3 linked regions of the Alligator mississippiensis genome follow. The main gene of each other region encodes a partner of the protein of the gene in region 3 in a complex. Links are inferred from orthologs where the notes say so. Each region holds a gene or a part of one and is shown on either strand. Other genes may lie near its edges.

Region 1 (3,744 bases), on a different chromosome or scaffold from region 3:
TCATTTAGGGTTTGGTTTGGGTTTGGCTTTTTTTTTTTTTTTTTTTTTTTTTTTTTTTTTTTTTTTGGTGAGGATATTCTTTAACCCTCTTTTTTTTTTCCTGACGTGTAAAGCTTTAACCACAAACTGAAACACCAGTCCCTGAGGGGGGTACGGAGGGGGGAGAGGAGGAGAGGTAGAGGCAGATTGGTTATTCTCTTTTCACAAAAGAAAGTTTTAGTAAGAGGGGGTGAGGTAAGCAAGCGGTGCCACCCTGTGTTAGAAACACTGGTGTGTCATGGGGGGAGCAAGGGGGGTGAGGAGGAAGGAAGAAGGATACAGACAGAGATGGAAAGAAAGAAAGGAGAGATTGACAGATGGGAAGATGGAAATGTACAGACGGGTGAAAAGAAAGATAGGAAAAACAAAACAGAAGAATATGTAGATAGAGTAGAAAAGAAAGGAAGAAAGATATACTGATGGTTACAAAAAGGATAGATAGATATAGAAAGAAAGAACAGAAGCTGGATCGGTCTCTCCCCTTCTTGCTGTCATGTACAGCCCTCCCCATTCCAGATTTTTAAAAAGTTTTTCCCTAAGGGGGAAAAAACATCCAAGCCCAAAGCCAGCCCCCTGCCCTTGCCCCAGCCCAAATGCCAGACGCGGGACTTGGAAAAGCAGTGCTAGTTTATTTTTTATTCCCTCTGCTGCTGCCCTTTCATGGGAAACAAAACACAATCAATTGTTGAGCTTTTGTTTTTTATTTTTGTGTTGTTGTTGCCTCTAAACAAGGGAGAAAGGAAGCAGCATGCAGACGTTTAGTCATCGGCAGGTGACTAACCCTGCTAAGCATTTCGCCAGGCGACAGACACCAGAATGGGATGGAGGGGGTGAGTGCAAACATTTTGGTGAAAAGAAAGTTGAGCCCTTTCTCGGGGATTGGTTTGTTATTTCCCATTCTTCCTTCTTTACTAAAGTTCACAAGTTTTCTTCTTTCATTCATTCTTTCTTACTTTTGCCTTGTTCCTGCTGTGGGGGTTAGATTTGTGATTCATTAATCAGCAAAAGGCATCACAGCCCCATTTCAACACAAGATCTTTCAATTGCATATTGTGACTCAGCATTAGGCTCCAACTTCTTTAAAAGTTGAACAAGGAGGCAGAGATTTCCCATCTGCTTGACCCTTTTTTTTTTAAACTCACTCCTCATTGCCAATTTAAAATATTTAGTAGTAAAAATGTTGTTAGTTCTTAATGCAAAAATTTTAAAAAATCTTCCCTAAAACAGGTGAATAACTTCTAAAAAAGACATAGCACCCCTCTCTCCAGGAAATTATTACATGTAATACATAAAAATTTATAGGTAATATGTATATACATACATATTATGTATGTATGTATGTATATATCATACATAGGCACAATGTAGATTTAAGTGCTTTTGAAAAAGTCCAAAGGGTTCAGAAGACACGTACATAGGCATCATTCTATTTTTGCATTGTTTTTCATCTATACTTCTATTAACTGTGTGCACAAGAGCTGTATAGAGCTATGGGCCCAATCCTGCAGTTCTTACTCCAGCAAAAATCCCACTCCACAGCTTGCAAAATACATACGAAACTCACTTCACTACTGAGTAGTTCTGATGTCCAAATTCTGGGACGGTTCCCCTCTCTGTTCAGCTGCTCTAGTAAGGGGCTTTTAAGAATTTTCAAGATCTGTGTAAAAACTCACTTGTGTTGGGACTTAGCATTCTGACTTACTAGAGATGCATGAGGCTTTTTGCTTCAAGGATCTACAAACATGAATATTTATTTTTGTATATTACAACAGCTAAAAAATGAGTTTGTTTCCAATTAACCTCATCTGATTAGGACAAACTTTGCTCTGGGTGTCCCTCTAGTTAGATGAGAGCTTTGGAAATAAACTTCAGATTTAAAATAAACTATCAAGGGTTATTAAACCTGGTATGTTGGGGATATGGCAAAAAGCAAAAAATAAAACAAAACCCAAAATGCTGTTTACTCACATTACTAAATATTTAAATTTTTTTCAAACAAGAAAAGCAGGAAGGGTTTTTTGTTCTGTAGAAGGAAATACAATAAGTGAACCTAAAATTATTTTCATTTGTGAACCATGTTTTTTATCTTCTGTTGTTAAAACGTGTCTAGTATTTACACTTTATAGAAAATGGAAAACTATTACAGTCCTTTGAACTTTGGGAAGGGAAATGTATTAATTTTTGCAAGCATTCTCTTGATGCTTTGTTTAAAACAAAGGCACTTACAAACCAACTTGTCTTAGGTTAACAGTTCTTGGTACTTCCAAAAGGTAAAACTCATAATTTTTCAATAATAGTTTCAATAAACTCCAGCCTCCCCATATTTTTGTTTGAAATGTCTAAAACTATTTTTTCTTTGGTAGAATTCACCCTAAGAGGTTGAATAGTTCAACCTTTCCACTATTTCTTGAGCAGCAACTCTGCTGTAATGTGCAACTTATTTAAATATCATTCATCTATATATATGTACAGACACACATACATTAGATTTAAAGGAGTCTACATTGCACCATGTACAAAGACTGTAATATGTTTAAGTTTCTTTAGGATTGGCGCAAATACTGATATCTTTACAGTACGCTATATAATGTCTTTGTACGCAATTATGTGTTTCTTCTTAGATAAACACAAGTTTAAGCATGTAATACATTCACATTTATACACATATTTCTCCGTCCTGTATTTTTTGTAGATGCTTTTTATCTGACTGTAGGGAAATGTGGGTTGCAGACTGATTAAAATTGGGATTTTTTTTCCCCTTTGCAACACTAACAGGCAAAACGTGAGCCCAGAATGCTTGCCTCAAACTGTGTGTGTTTCATACCCAATCCAAGAAGATGCCTTTTTTTAAACTGGTTGGAGTTGGTGGGTAAGAATGGTGCAATGCAACATGCCACCAGGAAAGTTTTACAGACCCAATGCCACACTGAGCCCAGACAAGGAAAATTTTCCTGATTTGGAAGCCTGGGGACTTACCCTACTACAGACACTACGACACCAGCTTTCAGCATAGATGCGTGCCAGACACAGGTACCGGGGAGGTGGGGAAGAAAGAGAGAAAGAGGAACACATGAATGAAAAAGAAAAAAGCTTAGGTGCCTCTTTGTAACATTTCCCTAAAGTTGTCCTTTTCTGCAAGAACTGAGTTGCATGCCTACATGCCTAGTAATATCTGACTATCTGTGAGGGAAGTAATCCCCACTGCCCTAGAATAAACTCTTTGGATGAGGGAGGGAGAGGTAGGATTCAAAATCCATGTTTCTGATTTCTCTACTTAAAGCTTGTGGGCTTTTCATCACTTTTTTGGTTCAGATGAAGTGGGGAAAGGGGCAGACAGAGAGAGGGCTACAGAGCAAATCCTCAAAGTCAGGGGCAGCTTTTATGCAAAGCACAAAGTGATTAAAAAGGTGCTCCCCACTGCCAGGCCCCAGGACACAGAATGAAGGGCTCATTGGCTTGACTTCATAATAGACCATGTCATGCCAATGTGGTTAGTGGAACAGAGTCTGTCTCCACCAAGACAGCCCTATCCTAACCCCATCAGCACAGTCCCCTCCCATGAGATACGGGATCAGACAACAGCAGGGCTTGGGATGTAATGACATTGTTCAGCATCTCACTTTGCTCTCACTGGTACAAGATGCTACCACTCCTCGGGGGGAAAAGAGGCTTAGTCTGAAGACTGCATGAGCAGTAGCTGGGATG
Region 2 (3,744 bases), on a different chromosome or scaffold from region 3:
TATTCAGGAATTAAACCAGAGTGACCTGCTGGCCAATTTTAAAGGACATCAGTGTGCAAACATCTAGTGCCAGAATCTTCCCAGGTGCTGACTCTTCCCACTTCAAAAAGGAACTTTTGGGCACACAAATAAACCTCTGAATCTCACCTAGATGCGGTTATATTCTTGTCTAACACCTGACTTTGAGTGAGACTCAGGGATTATAAGAGTTCAAACAAGGAGACAAATTCAACAAGTGCTGATAAACAAAGGGCGTGTCTACTTGAGACACTTACTGCACATTAGCCTGATAACACTGCAGTAGCGTGGCAGTTAAAAATTGTGCTAATAGCCTACTGCATAGTCTTATTAGGCTAAAGTGTCACAAAATAAGTGTGCGCTGGCACTACTGCGCAGCAACTCTAGATACTGGACATTTAGTACTTCATTAAACAAGTACTAAACTAAATGAGCAGTAATTAAGGCTCATTAATGAATGTGTAGACACACCCAAAGAATTTTACTCTGAGCACTACACTTAGACAAGGGTATAGGATCTGGCACCTAGCATGTTTTTAGTTTATTGCTTCTAAATTAATGCAAAACTTCCCCAAACATTTACTTCTCTGATAAAAAAATTAATTTCTCTACAAACTTTACCAGCGCTAGATTCATGGCTCTTTTTGTATACAACTGCAACAAAGCATAATTTGTAACTAGTTATAACTTTCAATTTTAAACATTAAAAAAAGTTTGGGCCCAGTTATTGCAGTATAATAGCTCATTAAATCAAATAGTACAACCTAGTCTGAGGTTTCAGATAATAAAGACTATGTATATGGAAGGAAACTATAATGGGCCAAGTCAATGCTAAGTGAAAGAAAACTGAGCCACTGCGCAGCACTTCACACCACAAAATGGCTGAACTGGCCCATGAATTGTTCTTTGCTCAAAGCAGAGACCACCTCCCCAACACCACCTGAGCGGCGAGCAGTACCAGAGCAGCCAGTGTGGAGATTGGCAGGAGAAGGGGGAGAAAGCCTATTTGATGCACAGAAAAACCAAGGGCACGTGCCCACAGAGAAATGGTTAGCCTCCCATGTTCTCAGAGGTACGAAGCTACAATTTCTTGGGACAATTTAAACCAGTAACAGGAACAGAAGTGGAGGTCAGCAGTTGACAAGGAGTGCTCCAGGGGCCACCAAGCAAAGCATATCACTGGGAAAACAGGGACAAGGAAACGGTGCAGTGTGGGATGCCTGCAGCACCACCCGGACACTATCACAGAAAGCGCGGTGTCTGCACCTAACACTGGGCCCAATCCCAGAGAACCGGTTACAAATAACACTGGATTTTCCAGGTACTTTTAAAAGATTGCAGGTGGTTTAAACTGTACTAAACCAGCTTTTATGTCTGGACGACCTCGGCTAAAACCGCACTGAAAATAGTTCAGGTGCTACAAGTGCCCACCCCCTAGGTGTTGATTTAGCCCCTGGCCAGCAGGCGGGATCTGGCCCGCAGGGGTCCCCAAGGGCCTGAAAATTTGGCAGTGGGGGACTGGGGGCAGCAATCACTGCTTCCCCCTGCTCCCAAATTTCCACTCGCTGCCTCCCAGGCGCTGGAACCAGCAGCCACATCCCAGCACAGTGGCATCCTGGAGCATCCCCAGGCGCCGGCCTTGCACCATGCTCCGGCACAGCTGATCCAGCCACTGGTGGGCAGAGATCAGGGCTCAGCGGTTCACTGGCGGAAGGGATAGTGCAGCCCCAGCCTCCACTGCCTGCCCTGAGCGCCAGCTGCAAGAGAACCAGCTGCAGGGGACACCCTGGGCGCTGCCAAGCCAGATCAGGCAGGGAGTGAATGCAGGGCTGAGCATCAGGAGGGGAAAGGCATAAGCTAGTAAATACGGTAAGTAAATACGGTAAATTGCCCTCCCCCCCACATCCACTCAGATTACAGGTGCTCAGGCGGTAAATTCCTTCTCTCCCCCCCCCGCAGGTCCACGCTGATTGGAGAGGAGACGCGAGGGTTCCACCCCACGCCATGACGTCACCTGCCCCCGCAAACCCGCTACACTTGAGGCGGGAGCGGCTAGTGCCTGCGTCGGCCCCTCCCCCCGGCCGCGGCGCTCACCTGCCCGCCGCGCCTGCCCGGCGCCCTCGCAGCTCAGTTCGGCGGGGCCCGTCAGGAGCGGCTCGTCCAGCAAAGCGTCCTCGTAGCCTTCCTCCTCCTCCTCCTCCTCCTCCTCCTCCTCCTCCTCCTCGTCGGGCCCCAGCCCCGGCTCGTCCTTGGGTGGCAGCAGCCGCCCCCACAGCTCGGGTCCTGGCCTGGCCCAGCGCTGCTCGCCCGCCCGCGCCATGCCCGCGCCCGGCCCGGCCCGGCCCACGTGTCCGGAAGGAGGCGCACGCCTCCGCTTCCCTCCCTGCGAGCGCGGAGCCTGCCCGGCGCGGCCCTGTGCTCCAGCTCCTGAGCTGCCCCGCCCCCAGGGAAGCGACTTCCTGTTTTGGCGGAGCGCGTTCCTCTGAGGCAGCCCCGGGCTCCCAGTGGCTGAGAAGGTGCTGCTGCCACGGCTGGGTCCGGTCTCTTCGCCCCACACCCGCACGGCGCCAGCTTGCGGCTGCATCGAGCATTCCCTCCTCGGCCAGGGGCCAGGTGGGAGTCGGGCTGTCACCCACTCGAGGCCACATGGGGCCCTGGGGCAGCAACCTCAGGCATGAATGCTGTGGGCCCCCCGCCCCGAGGCTGGGGGTCACGCAAGGCCGCACAGGCGGTGGCAGCAGAAGCATGGCTCCTGCAGGCAGCCACGGCGTAGGTGGGTGGCGAGCGCCGCCCAGCAGTTAGTGACCACCCACAGACGCTGCTGCGGCGATCACGGACCGCCTGCAGATGCTGCCGGCAGTGTCAGCAACGGGGGGTGGCAAACGGCAACCACCCGAGGGGCACCACCAGCAGTGTTGGCAGCGCCTTTTCACAGGGGGTGCACATGTACCCCCTACACATAGCCAGAGACCGAAGGTGCAAGATCAGGACCATCAGTGGACCCAGCCCATGGACAGATGGCACTGCCCATCCAGCTCACCCGCCAAAAATGTTGAGGGCTGCTGTGCTACAGGAATTCCAGGCCAAGTGCCATGCTCCTCGCTACATAGGGCAAAACCCCACACAGTCTATGGGGTAAAAATCCATCCCGACTCCAGATATGAGGATCAGTCTGACCCTGAGCAGAGGGACATACACCTCTGGCTTTGGTCCCAGCAGGAGTGTTGGCACACATCAGTCAAGGACCCTGCAAGCACCTACCCTGGAAATCTTCAACAGGAGACTAGACAGTCACCTTGCTGGGATCACCTGACCCCCAGTTCTTTCCTGCTTGGTGCAGGGGACTGGATCCTGATGATCTCCACCCCAGGTGCTGAGGGAATCGGCAGAGGTCATTGCGGGACTCCTGGCACTGCTCTACAAGCACTTAGGTGCTCTGGCGAGGTGCCAGAGGACTGGAAAAAAGGGCCAATGTAGTTCCCATCTTCAAAAAAGGGAGGAAAGAGGACCCAGGAAACTATAGGCCTGTTAGCCTTACCTCGGTCCTGGGGAAGCTCTTTGAGAAAATTATCCAGGAGCACATCTGCGAGGAACCAGCAGGGGAGATCATGCTTAGGGGGAACCAACATGGGTTCGCTAGAGGTAGGTCCTGTCAGACCAACTTGGTTGCCTTCTATGACCAGGTTACAAAATCCTTGGACGTAGGTGTCGTGGTGGACATAGTCT
Region 3 (3,744 bases):
TCGCCCTCCCGTTCGCGGGCTTGCGCTCGGAGCTGCTCGATCTGGCTCAGCAGGGCGCGGCGCGCACCGCCCGTCAGACCCGCGTCCCCGGCGACCCGACTCTCCGCCACGCTGAGGGCCTGCGCCGCGTCCCGCGACCGCCCCAGCAGCAGCAGGCACTCCGCTTTGCGGAGCAGGACCTTGGGTTGCAGCCCGGCGGGGTAGCCCTGGCCCAGAGCTCTCTCGATGTCTTCCAAGCACGCCTGCGGTAGAAAAAAAGGCCTTTACGGGGGGGGGGAAAAAACACGCAACCATCCGCCCCACCCGCGCACCCGGCCGCGGGCTCACCTGTGGGTGCTGCAGACGGAAGAGCGCGGCCGAGCGGTTGGCGAAGCACAGGGGCAGCTCGGGGCCGCCGGGCGCCGCGTGCGACACGGCCTGCGGGCAGCGGGACGGCGGTCAGGGCCGGGCCGGGCCGGGAGGGGGGGAGGGAAAGGGCGGCGCGGCCTACCTTGGAGTAGAGCGCGGCGGCGGCCGCGAAGTCGCCCCGGCGGAAGCGCGCGTTGCCGGCCTGGCGGTAGAAGCAGGCGGCCGCCGCCTCCTTGCCCGCGCCCCGCCGCCCGCACAGCGCCCGCAGCAGCGCCTCGTCCTCGGGCCTGCGGGACAGCGCGTCAGGGGACGGGGAGAGGGAGGGCCGCGCCGCCGCCCCCAGCCCCGGCCCGCCGCCCACCTCAGCAGTCGCCAGCAGCACCGCAGCGGGGCCGCGCCCGACAGCTGAGCCCGCAACGCGGGCCCCAGCGTCTCCCAGCGCCGCGCCGCATGCACCCGCCACGGCTCCGCGGGCAGCGCCATGTCCCCTCAGCGGCCGCCTGCCCGCGGACCGGTACTTCCGGCGTACAGCACCAGCACTTCCGGCACTCGCCGCACCGCGGCTAATAGAGGGCGGCACTTCCGCTGTACGGCACTAGCACTTCCGGCATCCGTCGCACCCCGGCTAATAGCGGCGCGGCACTTCCGCCGTACGGCATAGGCACTTCCGGCATCTCATCCAATAGCGGCGCGGCACTTCCGGTCACGCGGGCGGGGGATTTGGCGCGGCGGGAGCAGGAGCAGGAGCGGGCTGTTGTCGCCATGGCCGCGCGCCTGAGTGCGGGCGCGATTGCGGTGAGGGGCGCGGGCTTCCCGCTCCTCGCGGCCGAGCCGGCTCGTCTTTCACGGGCAGGAGCGCGCGGGTCCCCCGGGGCGGGCCAGGGGCCGCGTGCCCGGCGGGTGCCCCTCGCTTGGGCCGGGGCCCGCGTGTAACGCCCCGCCCAGCCCCCGGGTGCGGGGGGCCGAGCCACCCCCGGCGCTCGGCCCTGCTGAGGGCCCTTCCCACCCGGCCCCTGGGAAGGGAAACCCGCTCGCGACGGGCCGAGAGACGCGGGAGGCCATAGGGGAGAAGGGAGCTGCGGTCCTGTCCCCGCGGCGCCAGGTGTGACCTTCTTCCTTCTCGTCCCTCTCCAGGCCATCATGCAGGGCGAGCCCGTGTCCAAGCCCGTGCTGCAAGTCATCGTGAGTATTCGCACAAGCGTCCTCCTGCTCCCGGTCGCCGCAGCTCCGTGGGCAGGGGGCGGGCGGGCCAGGCCTGCGCCCTGGCGTGACTCGGGCGGGGGAAGCTGGGCCGGGAGCAGATGTCCTGTGCACAGCTCCTTGCACCTGGCCTGCGACAATGCGTTTCAGTTGCTGGCAAAGCCACACAAAAAAAAGCCCCCCCCCCATTCGTGTCTGCAGACGAGGTGTCACCTCGCCGTGTGTGTCACAAGTAGCGTGGGTTGAGGGCTGAGGACCCCTGCCTTTCCCTTGCAGAACACGCGTGCTATTGCCACGGGCAGCGGCCCTCCGCGCTACCGCGTGCTGATGAGCGACGGGGTGAACACGCTGTCCTGTAAGTGCGACGCCGCGCGGGCGAACGTGCCTCTGCCTCCGCGGCAGAGCCGACACCGGGGTGTCACGGGCGTGGTGCGGGCTGTCCCTTTCGATTCTGGGGCCGGTCATTTTGTTCTGGTGTCTTGCCGCGGACCACCCAAAACGTGGGCAGCAGCTCCGTCGTTAGCAGAGTCTTCTACGCGCGCTGAGGTCCGAGAGGAATTAGCAGCTCGGTTGAATCATTTTCCATTCTGTTACGTGTCTGATTACGTTAATCGCTGCCTGAACGCTGTAGTCCGTTCTCCAGCTTTGGGTGGCTGACGTGCAGCTTATGCCCAGGAAATGACTCTTGCTGGCTGACGTGATAATGTGCACACCTTAGGTCTATTCAGCGCCACTTGTCGGAGTAGAGAAGTTGCAATTAGCCATTTTAGTACTGTCCCTTGCTAGCAGCTTTCGGAGGGGTTTTCTTTTCTTTTCTTTTGCAGCTTTCATGTTGGCAACACAGCTGAACTCTCTAGTCGAAGAGGAGCGCTTGTCTGCCCACTGTGTCTGCCAGGTGAACAGATTCATTGTTAACAGCCTGAAAGATGGAAGGTATTTTTGTTTGTTTCGATATTTGTGTTCACAGAATTGGCTGAAGGAGCGGGTGAAAGGGAGGAGCTCAAGCGCTTCGTTCCGGGGGAAGTGGACAGGTGTATCCAGGGGGTTCTCATAATGTAGGCACTGGCTCCCTTATAGTTTTCTGGGAGCAATTCAGAGTTCTGGTTGTAACCAGTTTGTCTGGGCCTGACATACCTAAAGGACTGCTTTCTCCCCCAACGCCCCATTGCAGTCTGTGACAAAATAACAAAAACTTCAGAATTATTCGCAATTCAGGCACATGCAAAATCTTGGTAACTTTTACTGCCACCCTTCTCTTCTCCTTCAAGTTGCCTTTTGTATTGCATGCATAGTTGTATTTAGTGTGCACTTTTGAGACAGGTAGTATATAAGGAATCTGGTACCGTTTTTAGGGCTTTGCAAATAGCAATAATCGTTATCCCATCTCTGTTTCATGTGCACTGTTCAGGTTGTTTTGTTTCAGCCCACGCCATTTCTGCTTGCATTTACTGAATGTTGTAAACCGGTGGGTAATGAAGCTGTTTCCTCCTGACATTACCTTCCCCAGGGAATCTATTCTGTACTGATTGTAGTGCCTTTATATATGCAAAAAAGAAACTTGCAGCCTATGACAGACAAAGACAGATAACCGTAGAGTATCTTGCCATCTGTTCTGTTTTTAGGAGAGTGGTTATATTGATGGAGTTAGATGTTCTGCAAACTGCTGATGTGGTTCGTGGAAATATTGGTGATCCAGTGCCATACAATGAAGGTAGGTAACTTAGCAAACAAAGGCATTTTGTTGTTTCAGAGACTTACTGCTGTGCTGGTCTTTCAGCTGTGTACTTTAGTGAAAAAGGGGAGTCAAATTTCAAGTGATAGAAAAACAGGGCTGGTCATCTTGTCCACTCTGTCCTCCAAAGAGGATCGTCGCTGTCTAAACCATCCCCAAATTAAGGGAGGCCTGGTGTCATCCGAGCAGGCAAACCTCTGGTCTTTTCAGACATACTGCTACTGTATGCCTAAGTTGCACGGCTCTAATTGTCTTGTCTAGAGCTGTGATTTCCAGTTCCTTAATGTCTCTTCTGCACGTGGAACTTTTGTATAGTGTCTCTCTCTAATATACAAACCCAAGGCCAAACAGTCAGTTTCTGTCTCTATCTAGTATGGGGAAGTCTTGAATTTTCATGATGTTACTACTCCATTAATAAGAAACAGCTAATTATCATGGGGGGGGGGGGAGGATATAGAATCCTG

What was found.
Region 1: the proteins of RPA1 (region 3) and RAD9A are in contact, whole or in part, in a crystal structure (PDB 8JZY), measured with the Homo sapiens proteins. The link is inferred for Alligator mississippiensis from reciprocal best matches to the Homo sapiens genes RPA1 and RAD9A. Residues at the interface, in NP_002936.1 of Homo sapiens: Asn29, Arg31, Ile33, Arg41, Arg43, Leu44, Leu45, Ser54, Ser55, Phe56, Met57, Asn85, Leu87, Lys88, Asp89, Arg91, Val93; in NP_004575.1 of Homo sapiens: Asp297, Phe298, Ala299, Asn300, Asp301, Asp302, Ile303, Asp304, Tyr306, Met307, Ile308, Met310.
Region 2: the proteins of RPA1 (region 3) and HELB are in contact, whole or in part, in a crystal structure (PDB 7XV1), measured with the Homo sapiens proteins. The link is inferred for Alligator mississippiensis from reciprocal best matches to the Homo sapiens genes RPA1 and HELB. Residues at the interface, in NP_002936.1 of Homo sapiens: Asn29, Ile30, Arg31, Ile33, Arg41, Arg43, Leu44, Leu45, Ser54, Ser55, Met57, Ala59, Thr60, Gln61, Arg81, Ile83, Asn85, Leu87, Arg91, Val93, Ile95, Met97, Glu120; in NP_001357214.1 of Homo sapiens: Glu496, Glu499, Val500, Lys502, Ala503, Cys504, Asp506, Phe507, Glu508, Asp510, Asn512, Ala513, Glu516, Trp517, Thr519.

What each region holds. Positions count from the first base shown.
Region 1 is NC_081825.1:176,214,500-176,218,243, forward strand, and holds the start of RAD9A (cell cycle checkpoint control protein RAD9A), read left to right. Parts: upstream 1-736; 5' UTR 737-787; coding exon 788-869; intron 870-3,744. UniProt on the Homo sapiens protein: Component of the 9-1-1 cell-cycle checkpoint response complex that plays a major role in DNA repair. The 9-1-1 complex is recruited to DNA lesion upon damage by the RAD17-replication factor C (RFC) clamp loader complex.
Region 2 is NC_081827.1:67,692,806-67,696,549, reverse strand, and holds the start of HELB (DNA helicase B), read right to left. Parts: upstream 2,625-3,744; 5' UTR 2,610-2,624; coding exon 2,113-2,609; intron 1-2,112.
Region 3 is NC_081837.1:560,825-564,568, forward strand, and holds the start of RPA1 (replication protein A 70 kDa DNA-binding subunit), read left to right. Parts: upstream 1-1,036; 5' UTR 1,037-1,110; coding exon 1,111-1,143; intron 1,144-1,482; coding exon 1,483-1,530; intron 1,531-1,824; coding exon 1,825-1,903; intron 1,904-2,372; coding exon 2,373-2,481; intron 2,482-3,170; coding exon 3,171-3,259; intron 3,260-3,744. Other genes in the region: SMYD4 (SET and MYND domain-containing protein 4), read right to left, coding at 1-242, 328-417, 491-635, 710-831. UniProt on the Homo sapiens protein: As part of the heterotrimeric replication protein A complex (RPA/RP-A), binds and stabilizes single-stranded DNA intermediates that form during DNA replication or upon DNA stress.